Neurospora crassa OR74A: one gene and its partner. The main gene of each other region encodes a partner of the protein of the gene in region 2 in a complex. Links are inferred from orthologs where the notes say so. Each region holds a gene or a part of one and is shown on either strand. Other genes may lie near its edges.

The links.
Region 1: NCU02808 (region 2) and NCU04063 share a complex: the UniProt entries of both Schizosaccharomyces pombe proteins name them as parts of the nuclear pore complex. The link is inferred for Neurospora crassa OR74A from reciprocal best matches to the Schizosaccharomyces pombe genes nsp1 and sec13.

Annotation. Positions count from the first base shown.
Region 1 is NC_026506.1:2,619,703-2,626,736, forward strand, and holds NCU04063 (protein transporter sec-13), read left to right. Parts: upstream 1-3,579; 5' UTR 3,580-3,801; coding exon 3,802-3,804; intron 3,805-3,898; coding exon 3,899-3,946; intron 3,947-4,014; coding exon 4,015-4,130; intron 4,131-4,198; coding exon 4,199-4,946; 3' UTR 4,947-5,240; downstream 5,241-7,034. Other genes in the region: NCU04061 (hypothetical protein), read right to left, coding at 1-50, 132-307; pex20 (peroxisome biogenesis factor 20), read right to left, coding at 1,368-2,468, 2,546-2,665; NCU04064 (hypothetical protein), read right to left, coding at 5,241-7,029. UniProt on the Schizosaccharomyces pombe protein: Component of the coat protein complex II (COPII) which promotes the formation of transport vesicles from the endoplasmic reticulum (ER).
Region 2 is NC_026501.1:9,051,260-9,058,639, reverse strand, and holds NCU02808 (hypothetical protein), read right to left. Parts: upstream 4,644-7,380; 5' UTR 4,037-4,643; coding exon 2,186-4,036; intron 2,077-2,185; coding exon 1,879-2,076; 3' UTR 1,529-1,878; downstream 1-1,528. Other genes in the region: NCU02807 (uncharacterized protein), read left to right, coding at 1-83, 181-312, 506-545; NCU02809 (hypothetical protein), read left to right, coding at 5,481-5,556, 5,647-6,048, 6,200-7,008, 7,067-7,380. UniProt on the Schizosaccharomyces pombe protein: Functions as a component of the nuclear pore complex (NPC).

The DNA of each region.
Region 1 (7,034 bases), on a different chromosome or scaffold from region 2:
CGTAGCGGGCTTGGGCGGGGTGGTTGGGGAGGTGATAGATGTGGACGTCGCTTTGGGGAGTGTTAGTGAACTTACAAAGGGAGAAGGGAAAGAGGGAAAGAAAAGGCAACGAGGGGGGTATAGGCTCGTACAAGGCACCTCGTCGCCCGTTATCTAGAGGCTCGGGAAACTTTTCGTAGGCGCTGCTGAGCACGCCGGTTTGGTTGTTGAGGAGGCTCTTGCCGTCTTCGGCCTTTTCGGTGGGGAGGGGAGGGGCATTTTCGTAGCCTTCTAGGGGGGATTTGTAAGTTGGTCTTTGAGAGGGCATGTTGTTGTTGTTTGTTTTAGGAGTTTAGAGTCTAGAGTCTCTGGCTGAATGGGTTTGGGGTGAGCTGGTCGGGGTTGATTCTAAATTGAATTTTAGGGTACTGCGTCAACTCGGATGTGAACTGAAGTAAATAGGTGAGAACTATGTTAGGGTCAAGTTGAAGTCAAATATGGTGTCCGAATAGCTTCATCGACGTGATTCTCTCATGAGTAAGCATTACGAAGGTGACAATACGGATGACAAATAATGGCGGTCGTTTAAATGCCACGCTATGGGGTCCCGGCATGGCATCATTCCAGCATCCCACCCGTGGCCGAATGGCGATCCCGTCCGGGGAAGCCCCACCCCCGCACGGCGGCATCCCGACTGGACAGTCGGCACACGGGACCCCACGAGTTCCATGCCCCTCCGCTCACTTGGCCGGGAATGGCGACTCGACGAGAAGCAAAATCAGTAACCAAAATTCCAGTCCGAGGTATTCACACGTGTCAGTATCAGTTATGTGAATCCACGCTAATATGAGAATGATAAGCCTCCTGCTTGTTGTTGTGAGAATAATTATAGTACAATAACAAATGCCTATTACGCCGGTGTAATAGTAATAATACTCCGAAACAATGCTGACATGTAACAAGTAGTGAGAGAAAGTATGAACCATGCGCCTGCCTAGCCTCCTGTGGCCTTCTTGAACGCCATGCCCAAACCCTTGGTATCGGAACCTGACCCAAGCCATGACTGAAGCAAATCCTTTTCGTACCAAACAGTTCCATATTCATGTAAACCCTTTCCTTCTATCCCAGCAATGTGAAAATACGTCCCTTGGAAACCAGTCCATGCTCGGAAATGCGCAGCAACAAAATCGAATGCTCGACACGACATCGTGTCGATGTCCCCTAAACCGTAATAAAGCCGTAACAAAAGTGAGAAATCATGTAACAATACGATGTCGCGCCTGCAATGATAACAAACTGGTCGTCCCAGTCCCCATACAGTGATTCGATTTAACCAGCAGTGAGCCAAGGTCGAAACACGGTATCCTCGACTTTGAGGTGCCGAAAACTTAAGCGGAAGAAGCAGGCTCAGCGGAAGCTATGCCCTTGTCGTTCGCATCCAAAGAGCCAGAGACATCGTCGTTGGGGCCAAAGTCGGAAGGGCTAGTGCTAACCTGCTCGCCAGTCGCCACATCGACAAGCTTATCACCGTCGACCTCGACCTCTCTGTTGCCGATGCGACGCATCAAATCCAGGAAAGTCGACTTTTGAAATTTCTCGGACTGGTTGTCGGCGACCGAGGTCAAAATGGCGTTGGCTGCCTTGGCCAGCTCCTCGTTGCCCTCGCGACGACGAGCCTCGGCTTCTTCCTTGGCTTCCATCTCTTCAGCGAGGTTCTCCAGATCAGCATCGATAGTGGCCATTTCCTCGTCGGTGGGGGGGCCGACTTTGGTGTTGTTCTCGGCGCTCGGACCGTGCTGCGCCATCCACTCGGCCTCGGCAGCCTCAAACTCCTGCTGAGCTTGCTGAGCCTTCTCGGCCTTTTCCTTCTCGGCCCACTCAGCAAGTTCTTGCTCAAAGGAAGACTCGTCGTACTCGCCAAAGGCTTTGTTAAAGGCTTCGATGTCAAGTGCCGACTCGACGTGGTCGTTGAGGCCGAACTGAGGCTGCTGATGAGTGAAGTTGTTCGTGGCTGTGCCATGCATGACAAAAGGATCGTCCATGGACAATCCCATTCCCATTCCCATTCCCGTACCCACACCCATTCCCATACCGCCGAACTGGCGAGTGTTGTAGGCCATATGGTCGTCCTGCAAGCCCATCATGGAGTTGTGGGTTGCAGTAGACATGGCTGCCGGCATGGCTTGAGGTGACATGGCCGGGGCCGCGTGAGCTGTGTCCTGACGGAGCTGCATGCTGGCGAACTGGTCGACCCAGCCGTGGGCAGCGGCACGGGAGGAGTGCATGGGACTGGCCGTAGCCGGCGCACCTCCGACCGCATGACCAAAGACACCAGGCGCTGGACCAGCATGAAAAGCCGGGACGCCTGGGTTGTTCAGGAACGTATTATTCGCAAGGCCGAGGGAAGGACCCGGGGCGTCGAGCATAGGGGCTTGCTGAAAGGTCTCAAAGGCACCATCAGCAGCGAAGGAGGGGCGGTTTCTGAAGGACTGGATGGGTTGTTAGCACCGAGTTACGCTGGATATTCTACGACAAGACAAAACAAAAGAAAGCGATCATATCATACAGCACCGGCAGCCGAGTTGGGCGAGTTGACCAGGCGGTCCTGGTGAAGAGTGCGGTCGCGATCAGCGTGCGCAAGAAGGTTCTTGGCACCGTTGGACGGGCCGCACATGCTGTCAGACATGTTGAGCGAGGTTTGACTTGTTGGAAGCAAAAAGGCGAGAAGCGCGGGTGACGGTAAGTTTCGAGAAAGAAATTACAAAAGTAGAAGGTTTTATAAATAAAGAGTGAGGAACGAAATGTCCTTGAAGAGAGTATATAATTATTGTAGAGCGAGGAAGACTTGGATGAGTGAGCGAAAGGAGAGTTGTAAGTTGTAAGTAATGTAGATTAGTGGCGCGAAAGTAGAAGCCGAGGTTCTTTGAACAGCGCGATAGTAGTCACCGAACCCGCCGGTATCTCAAGTCTTCAACGCTAAGTATTTGGAGAAAAGTAGTTGGAGAGGGGGGAAGATGGAAACGAGAAAAAAAAGAGTAAACAACGCCGGACCTAATACCACGAAAAGGACGCGACTGATTACTGTGTGTAAAGAAATCCTTTTAGCAAGCAAACAAAAAGCGTCGCTGATTTTGAACAAGTAATTCTGGAAGAAGGGTCAAAATGGTCAGGTCTGGTTGAGTGAGATTCCATCCCAACTTTTTGTGACGGGAGTGAACGCTGCCACGGCACTGGCGAAATTCCCGTCGGGGTAGCCATGCGCTCACACGCTATCATGTGCACGGCATGTTCAGTGGACTTTTACAGCGGGACGGGAGAGCCCAGGCGACGCGTGGGGTCGTCAACGGGCCCCTGCCTCACCTGCCCCACCTTGGTTGTCTCAACAAGAGTCCACTTCGAGCCTCCGACCTGGTTACAATAACGTCACACCACGGTGAGCCTACGAGGAAACCGACAAAGGCTCCACTCACCTTGCTCACCTTGCTCACCTTGACTTCTTGCCAGCTGGACCACATCGCTCGACAGGGATCACTGCGCAAGCGTCAAGTGGAAGCTCCAGCGCAGCAAGACGGGTTCACCTATCGTGTCGCCTGGGCGTCCACTGCCTGTAGCTTGCAGCTTCCATTCCCAATGCCCGTCCGTGGTGATCCAACTTAACAGCAACTGAATCCCCAACGACGGCCCTTTTTCCTTTCTACTACTCTGAGTAGTGTACTTTATAACTCCAGTCTGAATTCATTCATCACCCAAAGGACGCAAATACAACTCCATACAAATCTATTTGTCTTTTCCACAATCTTCAATACTCCATAATTAATCAACATGGTACGTCCTCTTACACCCCCAAAGCTGCCGGCGGCGTCCCTCCCCCTTACTTGGCTACCTATCCACTAACATGAAGCTATCGCGACAATGACAGACCGCAGGCGCACAGGTTATCGCCAACTCTGGCCACGATGATATGATTGTACGCTGAACATCGCCCCCTCGACGTTTCCCGACAACCATCCCTCTGTTTCTAACCGACCCTCGCAGCACGATGCAGTTCTCGACTACTACGGCAGGAGGTTAGCGACATGCTCCTCGGATCGCACCATCAAGATCTTCGAGATCGAGGGCGAATCACAGCGACTTGTTGAGACATTGAAGGGGTATGTTTGCGATGGGCTACAGTCACCAAACAATATGGACAATGGGTTAACCTCCCTTCTTCCGACAGACACGATGGCGCAGTTTGGTCCGTAGCATGGGCGCACCCCAAGTACGGCAACATCCTCGCCTCGGCAGGCTACGACGGCAAGGTTCTCATTTGGCGCGAGCAAGCCGGCAGCTGGCAGCGCATCTTCGACTTCGCCCTACACAAGGCTAGCGTCAACATCGTGTCCTGGTCTCCCCACGAAGCCGGATGCCTCTTGGCCTGCGCCTCTTCGGACGGCAACGTCAGCGTTCTCGAATTCAAGGATAACAGCTGGGAGCACAACATCTTCCACGCCCATGGCCTGGGCGTCAACTCGGTCTCGTGGGCCCCCGCCACCACCCCCGGCAGCATCGTCAGCAGCAACCCCGGCCCCGGCTCGACGGGCAACAGACGCTTCGTGACTGGCGGTTCCGACAACCTGCTCAAGATCTGGACCTTCGACCCCGCGACCAACGGATACAAGCTCGAGCGCGAGCCCCTGGCGGGTCATACAGATTGGGTGCGCGACGTTGCGTGGAGCCCGACTGTGCTTCAGAAGAGCTATATCGCAAGCGCCTCGCAGGACAAGACGGTGCGCATCTGGACGAGTGACGCGGCGAACCCGGGCGAGTGGAAGTGCAAGGTTCTCAACTTTGATGCGGCCGTCTGGCGCGTTAGCTGGTCGCTCAGCGGAAACGTGCTGGCCGCCAGCAGTGACAACAACAAGGTCACACTATGGAAGGAGAACCTTAAGGGCGAGTGGGAGAACGTCAAGACCATTGAGGAGTAAAATCACATGGGAATTCGGTCACGTTATGATGATGATGGGTGGCGAGCGTTAGCATAATATTGGTAGGTAGGATATCTACTCATCATCCAGAGTGGGCGTTATCGGGTAATAAATAAGGGAGGCCAGCGAAAAGGAGCAGGCTTACCTTCGGTTTCACAAGAACATATCCAGGTTGGCTTCACATGAACCGCTCGGGACAATGAAGAGATCATACCGAGTTTTATCTTACACTATCACATTACCTCGGGCTTACGGGGAGTACATTTGACCCAGTACATCCCACCTCCCAAGTCATCAACGCGCCTTATCCATCTTCTCTTCCAACCATCCCAACACAATCTCCCTTCCCCTCTCATCCAGATCCCCAACACCTTCCAAATCGCCAATCGCCATGTCCTGATCGTCCACCACGCCCACGTCCGCCACCTTGACCCTCCTCGCCGCCTCCAGCTCCCAGTGGTGGAGGTCGATCAAGTAATCCTCGTCCCACTTCCGCCGCTCTTTGAGTTCCAACATCTCAATGCTCCGCTGCATCAGCAGCGCCAGTTCGTACGCTTGCGTGCGGAAGCTGTTCTCGCCAGCGGTGATGGCGACCGGGGGTTTGCGGTGTTTTCGCGTTTTGAGACGAGGGCGGGGTTTCTTCTTTTCCTCTGCTTCGCCTTGTGCTGAGTCGCCCTCTTCGTATTTCTCTCCCTGGCCTTCTTCTTCTTCTTCTTCTTCCTCCCCCTTTATCTTCTTCTGCTTCTGCTTCTGAACACCACTAAGTCCCTTTTGATTTCTGTTCCGGGCCGCGGCATCAACAACCCCATCATCCTTCCCCCCCTCCGACGACCCAATCTTCGCCAAAGCATCACACTTGAACGGCAACTCCGCCGACGGCGTCTCATACAACAATAACGTATCCGGCAGCTTAAGCATGGAGTGCCTCGGCGGGAAATGCACATAGCTCTTACGTGGGAACTTGCCAGGTAGAATCTCTACCTTGAGAGTTTGTTGGAGCATGTCTTCGGCCGCTACCTCGTCCGGCTCGCCTTCGGCGTCGTTGATCATCGACATGTGCATACGGTAGTGCTCCGAGTGCTCCGAGTTGTCGGGATCGAGGTCGTCGGTGGGGTTTTGGCTGGCTGGGAGGGGCGACGGAGCCGGAGGTTGGTGAGGAGGGGGAGTAGAGGGGGAAGTCAATGGGTCGTGGGGTTCGCTGGGGACGTCCGCGGGGACGTTGATGTCGCCGCTGCTGACACCATTGGCGCCGGTACCGGCACCGGTAATCAATGGCCCTGGAGGTGGCGGAAAAAGCCATTCAGGAACATACTTCTCATCAAAAGTCGTCGGAACAAAAAGTCCCGCCGTGTGGAAAAACAGACAAGCGCTAGCAAAGCTGTCAAACAGTCCCGACGGCGAGCCAAAGAGATCTTCGAGCCGACGCTGATAATGGGCAATGATGGGTGAGGTGGCAGCCGGTCCTGCATCTTTGTCGAGGTCGCGGTTCAGCTTGTGCAGCTGCTCCTCGATAAGGATGCGGTCGTCGCCCTTGGGCCGGTGGATCGGGTGGTCAGGCAAGAAAGTGGTCCAGTCGTAGATGCCGTTGTAGGCGAGGAGACCGCGTACGGCCATGCGCGCGTGTGGGTACGACTCGGTGAGAGCCAGCCCGGCGGCCAGACTGGCGCCAAGGTAGGAGCCGCAGATGTAGACGTCTTTGCGTTTGGGGTATCTTGGTTGGAGGTTTTGAATGATCCAGGAGTAGCCAAAGAGAACGTCGTGGATAGGGGTGGGCCAGTGAAGGGGAGTTATGCTGATATCTTCTTCCTCTTCCTTGGGTAGTCGCTCTTCTTCTTTGCTATTAGGCGTCTCGCTCGATTGATATCCTTCATCGTCAAAATCGGGCTCTTCAATCTTTGGCTTGAGTTTTGGCTGTGGTCTGTCGTCGTATAAGCCAGACCATCTATAGTGAATGACAGCGGCCGAGTATGTGTGAAGCCATGATGGGAGTTGATAGTTCGGGTCAGTCTCGTCCCGAGCAGCAAAGGGCGGGATCCAGATGATTAAAGGATCGGTTGGCGGCCGGTCAGCGACATTGTACAGACTGAG
Region 2 (7,380 bases):
CCTACCGTTTCCAGGGCGTTTGCGACCACCTCCCGCGCTCTCGCCGGTGAGACTGGTGCTCCCCCAAAGACCGGCGGCCCAGGGTGAGTTTTTGTTCCGCCGCGTTCCTCGCACGCGCACGTGGATACGCGGCGACTCCAACTAGTTCAAACCCGCTGACATCATACCCTCCCATTCCAGTGACGCTTTCCAGCGCCGCGAGAAGGCCAACGAGGATTTCGCTATCCGCCAGCGCGAGAAGGAGAAGCTCCTCGAGCTCAAGAAGAAGCTCGCCGAGCAGCAGAAGCACCTCAAGACTCTTTCTGATCACATGTAAGAACGACCCATCAGCCAGCCAACAGCCACCACCGGCGCATAGTCGCCACAAACACACCAGGCCGGGCGCGCATCATATGGGCCGTAGTCAGCTACGCACACCATCATCAGAGGAAGCCGGGCCTCGATTCTCCTTCACAAATAAAAGAAAGTTCTAAAAACAAGGCAGTTACTAACATTCGAGAAACAGTGACGAGATCACCAGGGAGCAGGGCGGCGAGCGCAACTAAACGAACAACAAGCAACAATAACAACCCATAAACATATTTTTTTTTCTTCTTCCTCTGCTTATTATCATTCCCTCTCGCGACGTCCCATCGCTACACACGCCACTACGCCTACGCAGTATGAATGCAATGAAATGAGAAGGGGCCAAGGATTTGGGGGGGTTAAGAAAGGATGGGACTTGGGCTACGGGGACGGACGGCGCGCCGAGGATGAGTGTCATCTTACACATATCTCAAACTTACCCCTTGTAGCAATATAGCGAGCAAAGCCATGATCGATGATCACAAAATCACGACCGGGGGACCTATGGACCTCACAAGTTGCATCAATGGGACGAACAAGTGTCTAAAGCAAAACCGTGACAGAACCGAGCTTATGAGAAAGTCCAAAACGAGTCGAACAGTTCCTGTGCTGCAGTAGGGGCGATATTGGGTTCATCGGCTTGCCCTTGAACCAGAATCTCATAATGCGGCTGAAGAGTAATGAAGTTATCAGGAAAGCAAGCCAGCCTACGTAGTTCCGTAACTAATTTTTTTTTTCAAAACCTAGTTACTTTGATCCAGACTCAAGACTCTTCATTATCTTAATGCCACTTACATGGAACATGAAAAAGAAAGCAGACGGGACGGTACTTTACTGAAGTATTAACAACTTCAAGTCCGTCTTATAAGAAATTTCACTGATACCCACCGACGTTCTGAGTCACAACAATGATGCTCTACGTCTCGGTTTTCAAAATGAAACTCCTGGCAGTCGGTACCTATATGTACAGTTCGGCAGTCCGATATGTATGATATTCACTCGACATCATATGAAGACAATATATCGAAAAAAACAGACACATGAACTCCCTTCCAGATGTAATGAACCCCTTTTTGGACTGTGGCCATTACCTTGAACCCATCTTGTTTATTGATTTTTGCTTCCACAACCTAGAATAAGTGGCCTAGCCCAGCCTAGCATAGCATAGCCTTTTTTCTTGTCTCCTAACCCATCCCAAAGCCAGACAGACAGACAGATCTCAGCTACGTAAATTAACATCATCGATCCCCCCCCATCCACAGCCACGATACATATACAAGACGTTTCAAATCATACCATGATGGTCTTTCACAGACTAACAAAACAAACCAACAAACCAACAAACCAACAAACTAGGGTAGGTAGGGTACTCAAAACTGAACACACACACACACACACAGACAAGTTCGCCGCCATCCGATTCTTCAGCCTCTTTCTCTTTCTCTTTCACTCATACTTCACTTTACTTTAGCTTCCTACAATACAGCATCATCAAAGCCCATTTATTTCCCTTCCCTTCCCTTCCCTTTCCCTTCACCTGTTCACACCACCGGCCCTGTACGAGCGGTAAAAGCTCTGAGCGGCATCCGACTCGTTGACGCCTTGGTGGGCACCCATGCCGCTGGTAGCCTTTTGGGCAGCGGCCACCTTGGCTTGGAGGTCGGCGGCGTTTTGGTCGATCCACTGAAGCTGGTGAAGGTGACCGTTGAGGACACGGACGATTTGGCTGAGCTGTTGTGTTTTGTTTATCGTGTGCGTTAGTGATTGGATAAAATAAGGGAAAAATGGAGAAAAAGGAGAGAAAAAGGAGGAGAAAAAAAAGGGAGAGAGAAAAACATACCGGATCATCAGGCTTGCTCCCCTTGCTCAACGTGCCCGTCATATCATTTATCTCCTTGATCATCTTGGCCAAATCCTTGCCCATCTCATCCAGCCTATCCGTCAGCTTCTCGGCAAGCTTATACGTCCTCTCGCGCTCCTGATCGGGGCCCAAGCCGTCGCCAACACCGCCAGCAGCCTTTGACTCGCCGCCGGATCCAAGCTGCTGCTTCTTGAACAACTCCTCCAGCTGTGCCTCGTACTGGTCCAGCCACGCGGTCAGCTCGTCCTGCTGCGACTCGACGCCCGAGAGCTGGCGCTCGATCTCGTTGCTGGCCTTTTCGGCCTCGTACGTGCTGGTGTACAGCTTCTGGATCTTCTCGCCGTTTTCGACCAGGAGGCGGTCCCATTCGGCCACCTTGGCGGCTTGCGACTTGAATTCCTTCTGGTACTTGGAGAGATCGGTGGCCCAGCGGGTGATGATTTCATCCATGGTCTTGTTCTTCAACCGCGGGAGAGTAGAAGTGGGGCCGGTGGTCGTGGAGGCGAGGTTGCCGGTGGTGCTGGTGGTGCCGGCGGCAGTAGTGGTGTTGTTGGTGGTGGTTTTGGAGGTGGTGGTGTCCGCAGGCTTGGCTCCTCCTCCAAAGAGACTGCTGGTGGTTCCAGCAGTGGCGGTGGTGCTCCCACCGGCAGTGGTGGTGGCCGCTGTGGTAGTGGCGGGCTTGGTGGTGGCCGCACCGAAGAGGCCGCTAGTTGTGGTCGAAGACGAAGGAGCAGGCGCCGTGGTTGTGGTCGTCGAAGGCGTAGTCGATCCAAACAAGCCTCCTGATGCTGGGGCAGTAGAGGTAGTGGTAGCATCCTTGTTGGCGCCGAACAGACTGCCGGAAGCAGCAGTGGTGGTAGAGGTGGCAGGAGCTGAGGTAGCAGGAGTGGCGCCGAACAGACCACCCGTAGCTGGCTTTGCGGCTTCGGCCGGCTTGCTTGTGTTGGCACCAAAGAGGCCGGAAGTTGCTGGTGCTGTGGTGGTCGTGGTCGATGTCGTAGCCGGGGTTGTCGAGGCTCCGCCAAACAGGCTGCCACCGCTGGTCGCAGGCTTCGCGCCAAAGAGAGTAGATCCGGAAGTGGCTGTCGTCGCGGGAGTTGTGCTGGACGCAGGCTCGGCTGGCTTGGCGCCAAAGAGACCAGAAGTGGTGCCAGAGGTGGTGGTCTCGGCTGGCTTCGCTCCGAACAGAGATGGTGTTGTTCCCGAGGTGGGGGCAGGGGTTGTGGTCGGGGTACTCGAGGCTCCTCCTCCTCCAAAGAGGTTGCCAGAGGCAGGCTGGGTAGCACCAAAGAGAGAGGGCGCGGCCTTGGAAGCGTCAGCAGCAGGTGGTGCACCGGCTGGGGTAGTCGATCCTAGTCCAAACGAGGTCTTAGCCGGCGTCGTCTGAGAGTTGGCGCCAGCTCCGAAGAGACCACCGGTAGCCGGAGTAGTAGAAGCATTGTTTCCAAACAGACCTCCCGAAGGAGCTCCTGTTGCGGGTGTGGTGCTGGCCCCGCCACCAAACAAGTTCGAGCCACCAGCGGCGGGGGTTGTCGATGTGTTGGCAGTGGTGTTTCCAAACAAGCCTGCGCCAGGCGTCGTGCTGCCTCCTCCGGCAGTGTTGGAAGCAGAGCCGAAAAGCGAAGGTGTAGTCGAGGTGGTATTGGCTCCGAATAGTCCTCCAGGTTTCGAGGCATCTGTAGGCTTAGCGCCAAACAAGCTACCGGCTGGCTGTGTCGAGCTCGCTGCTGGGGTGCCGAAGGAGGAGGCTCCGAAGAGACCACCGGATGTAGCAGTTGTTGCTGGTTGGCCCGAGGCCGCGCTGGAGCTTGGTGTACCGAAGAATGACATGATTGCGATTATGTGAGGCTGACGATATGATGTCGAGGTTTCGGGGTTGGTTGGTTGGATGGATGGATGAGGCGTTGGTGGTTGGGTAGTCGTCGTCAACCAAAATCTAGAAAGTCAACAACAGCGTCCCACTTCCCAAGGCTGTTGCGGTTACCTCAACAACAACAGGGAGCGCGCGGAAACCCAAGCAACGATTCGTTGAAATGCGAAGAGGAAGATCGGCGCGATCTCGGTTTTGAGTAAGTGATGCAATGGTCCAGCCGTGGTTATCGGATCGCGAGTTTTGGACGTCGGTTCGGAATCCGTTTGGTGGAGTGGACGTGGACGTCGTTTGGGCGTGGATTGGAGAAAGCAAAGAAAGTGTGGCAGCGTCACTCAGTCTCTCGGTCTCTGTTTGTCAAGGTTCCGTCCGTCGCGACAGGCCTTTCCACTTTTTTGGAGGTGCTGCAGCGCGCCTGGGCTTTTCCCCTTCTGGGGACCCGGACGCGCACTCAACAAGGCCAAGCATTTCCCGCTTATTGGAGCACTCCAGTCACCACTGCAACGAGTCAGCCCCAGGTGAAGTGGTCAGCCTCACCTCACCTACCCCGTCTAACATTTTACTAGCAAGTGCCAAGCGTGCACGGCCAATCAATATGTGGCTTGACGGCAGTTCGACAACTGACGGAGAACTTGAGCAATGACGGGGCGGGCCTCATAAACTGAAGCGAAGTGCTGACTTTCCACTTGCCGTGATGCTCTTCTGCATTCTGACTGGACCGTCTGGTTGCAGCACATTACGCAGCGAGTTACCATACAGTTTCCGGACACGGCGGTACCTTAGTACCATACCGTACCGTACCGTACCGCACCGTCCCAGGGTAGCCGAGCAAGAAGCAGGAGCCCCGTTCAGTCGTCTCGGAAAGCTTGGGGTGGTGGTTACCCCATGTTCTAGATTAGGCCATCGTGAGCCCATCCTCTAGACTAACTCTAGGCCATCCGGAAGCTGTTCCTTTCTCTCGTCTCTCTCCACACACATTGCTGTCCATCGTCTGGACATTGGGATGCCACAAGTCAGCCGCAACGTCTGTGTGCATACCCAATCTTGATTCAGTTCACTTTGACCTCAGGCCATCTGCTGCGTGCAATTGACCTATCTCCTGCAGAGTATAAGAGTCGGCTTACTCCCGTCTTGTTATAGGACACTCCAGTCCTGTCCCTCACAGCAGTAAACATACTGTAGCACCCCACACCAACTACATCACTCCTCAGTCCTCACCTTGGCCCCCCGATCCCCGATCCCGATCCTCCCATATCCATATCCATATCCATATACATATACATACACCTATCTTGCTTCCTACCTACCATATACATTTCTGCGCTTCCTTCAGCACTCACCATAGTCGGAAATCCTCTTGTTCTTTGATCGTATAGACCGCCGCGACTACGCTTCGAGATCACAATGGCTTCGCGCAGGAACAGTCTGTCGCCTCCCGAGAGGCAGGGGACCATGGACCCGGGCGCTCATGAGCTACCTGGTAGGTTACAGCTGATGGGGAACTTGGGAGACCTCTGGACAAAGTCGGCACATGGATATCCAACTAACCATTCATTCTACGCGACAACAGGCTCCGACACCGAAGATCACTACTCCGATGCCATCTCTTCTCCCAAAGCTCCCTCCTCGCCCATCCCGCGAACAAGAGTCGAGAGAGTAGACGACAAGCCGGCGTATGGAGAGGTCCCGGGGACCAAGGCGTATTCTATGAGGGAAGGGGACGCGAAGCCGGATGAATTTGCCATTATCCCAGACCCAGACACCAAGCTCTCGACCGAGGAGCATGACCAGCGCCGGCCGTCCACTCCAGGCGGGCGCCCCATTCCCATGACCGTAGTGGAGGAGACGCCAGATAGCACTGGTGCCGTCACCCACCATGAGATCGAAGCGAGGCACAGGGTTGACAGTCCTCCCGACGTGCTTGTCAAGGCGGATGGGCAAAAGGTCGAGCATGAGAAGGGTGGTGACAATGGTACGGATGCGTAGCACTTCTTTCTAGCCACACACACACGCGCGCGCACACACACACACTTTCACAAGCACATGCCTGTTTGTTTGTTTTTTTTTGAGCCAGCAAATTATACAAGATCTCCTTTGTATTGACTTTACGTTTTCCTGCGTAGATACACCAATACCACCTGCATTAAAGAGTCCCGCCTCGATCCATTCTAGAGACTCGTCATCTGATCTAGACCAGCCATCCCCTGACTCGCCCTCATTGGGGCCCAGTCTTCTAGAAAAGGAGGAGGCAAAAGATGACGCGCACGACAATGTCGTACGAGACAACGCCAAGACCGCCGACGACGAAGACGCCGATGAAGATGAATCCAAGAAGGAGGAGGAGAATGTAGAGGTCAAGACTGAGCAGGCTCAAGATGGAGAGGTGGAGGACGAGAAGCACGAGGAGGAACAGTCAAAAGACCGCGACACCGAAGAAGCATTGAAAGGAGACGAGTTCGAGGATGCCAGCGAAGAGCTTGAGACGCAAGATACAAAGGAAGAAGACACAGAGGACCACTTCGACGAGGCAGAACCCAGTCAAGAGAACGAGAAGAAGGTCGAGCCAGAAGAGGACAAGAAGGACGATGTCAGCTTTGACCAGAAAGAGGAGAAGCCTGTTGAAAAAGATGGGTTCGACAACGACGACGACGACGGATTTGCTGAAGCAGGGGATAAAGCCCCCGACGATGACGGGTTTGGTGATGACGACTTTGGGGACGACTTTGCTGAGCCAGCTCCGGCTGGCGCCGATGACTTTGGGGATGACTTTGACGACTTTGAGGAGGGAGCCGAGGCCAACAACGATGCTGACTTTGGCGACTTTGACGATGCCGGCTTTGACGACGATGACTTCCAAGAAGCCGAAGGGTTCTCAGCTCCAGCACCTGCTCCTCAGCCGCAACCACAACAACCGCAGTCCTCATTATCCTTCGTAAGTCCCCAACCCAGTTACTCCCTCTACGTCCAACACACACTAACATATCCCCTAGCAAATACCCGACTTCACCCACCTTTCCGCGTCCGAGATCCTCTCCCTCACTTCCCCTTACCTCAACGCTCTCTTCCCTCCCTCCCCCGACACCGACGGCGACGACTCCTCCTCCTCCCCCATCCCCACCCTCAATGTCTCCAACGGCATCACCGACCCCATCTTCCAACACCCCCGCTCCGCCTCCCTCTGGTCACAGCTCGTCGCCCCTCCCCCACTCCAACCCCCCGACTGGATCCGCTCCCGCATCCGTCGTCTCTTCCTCGTCTCCCTCGGCGTCCCCGTCGACCTAGACGAGATCCTCCCCGCTTCCAA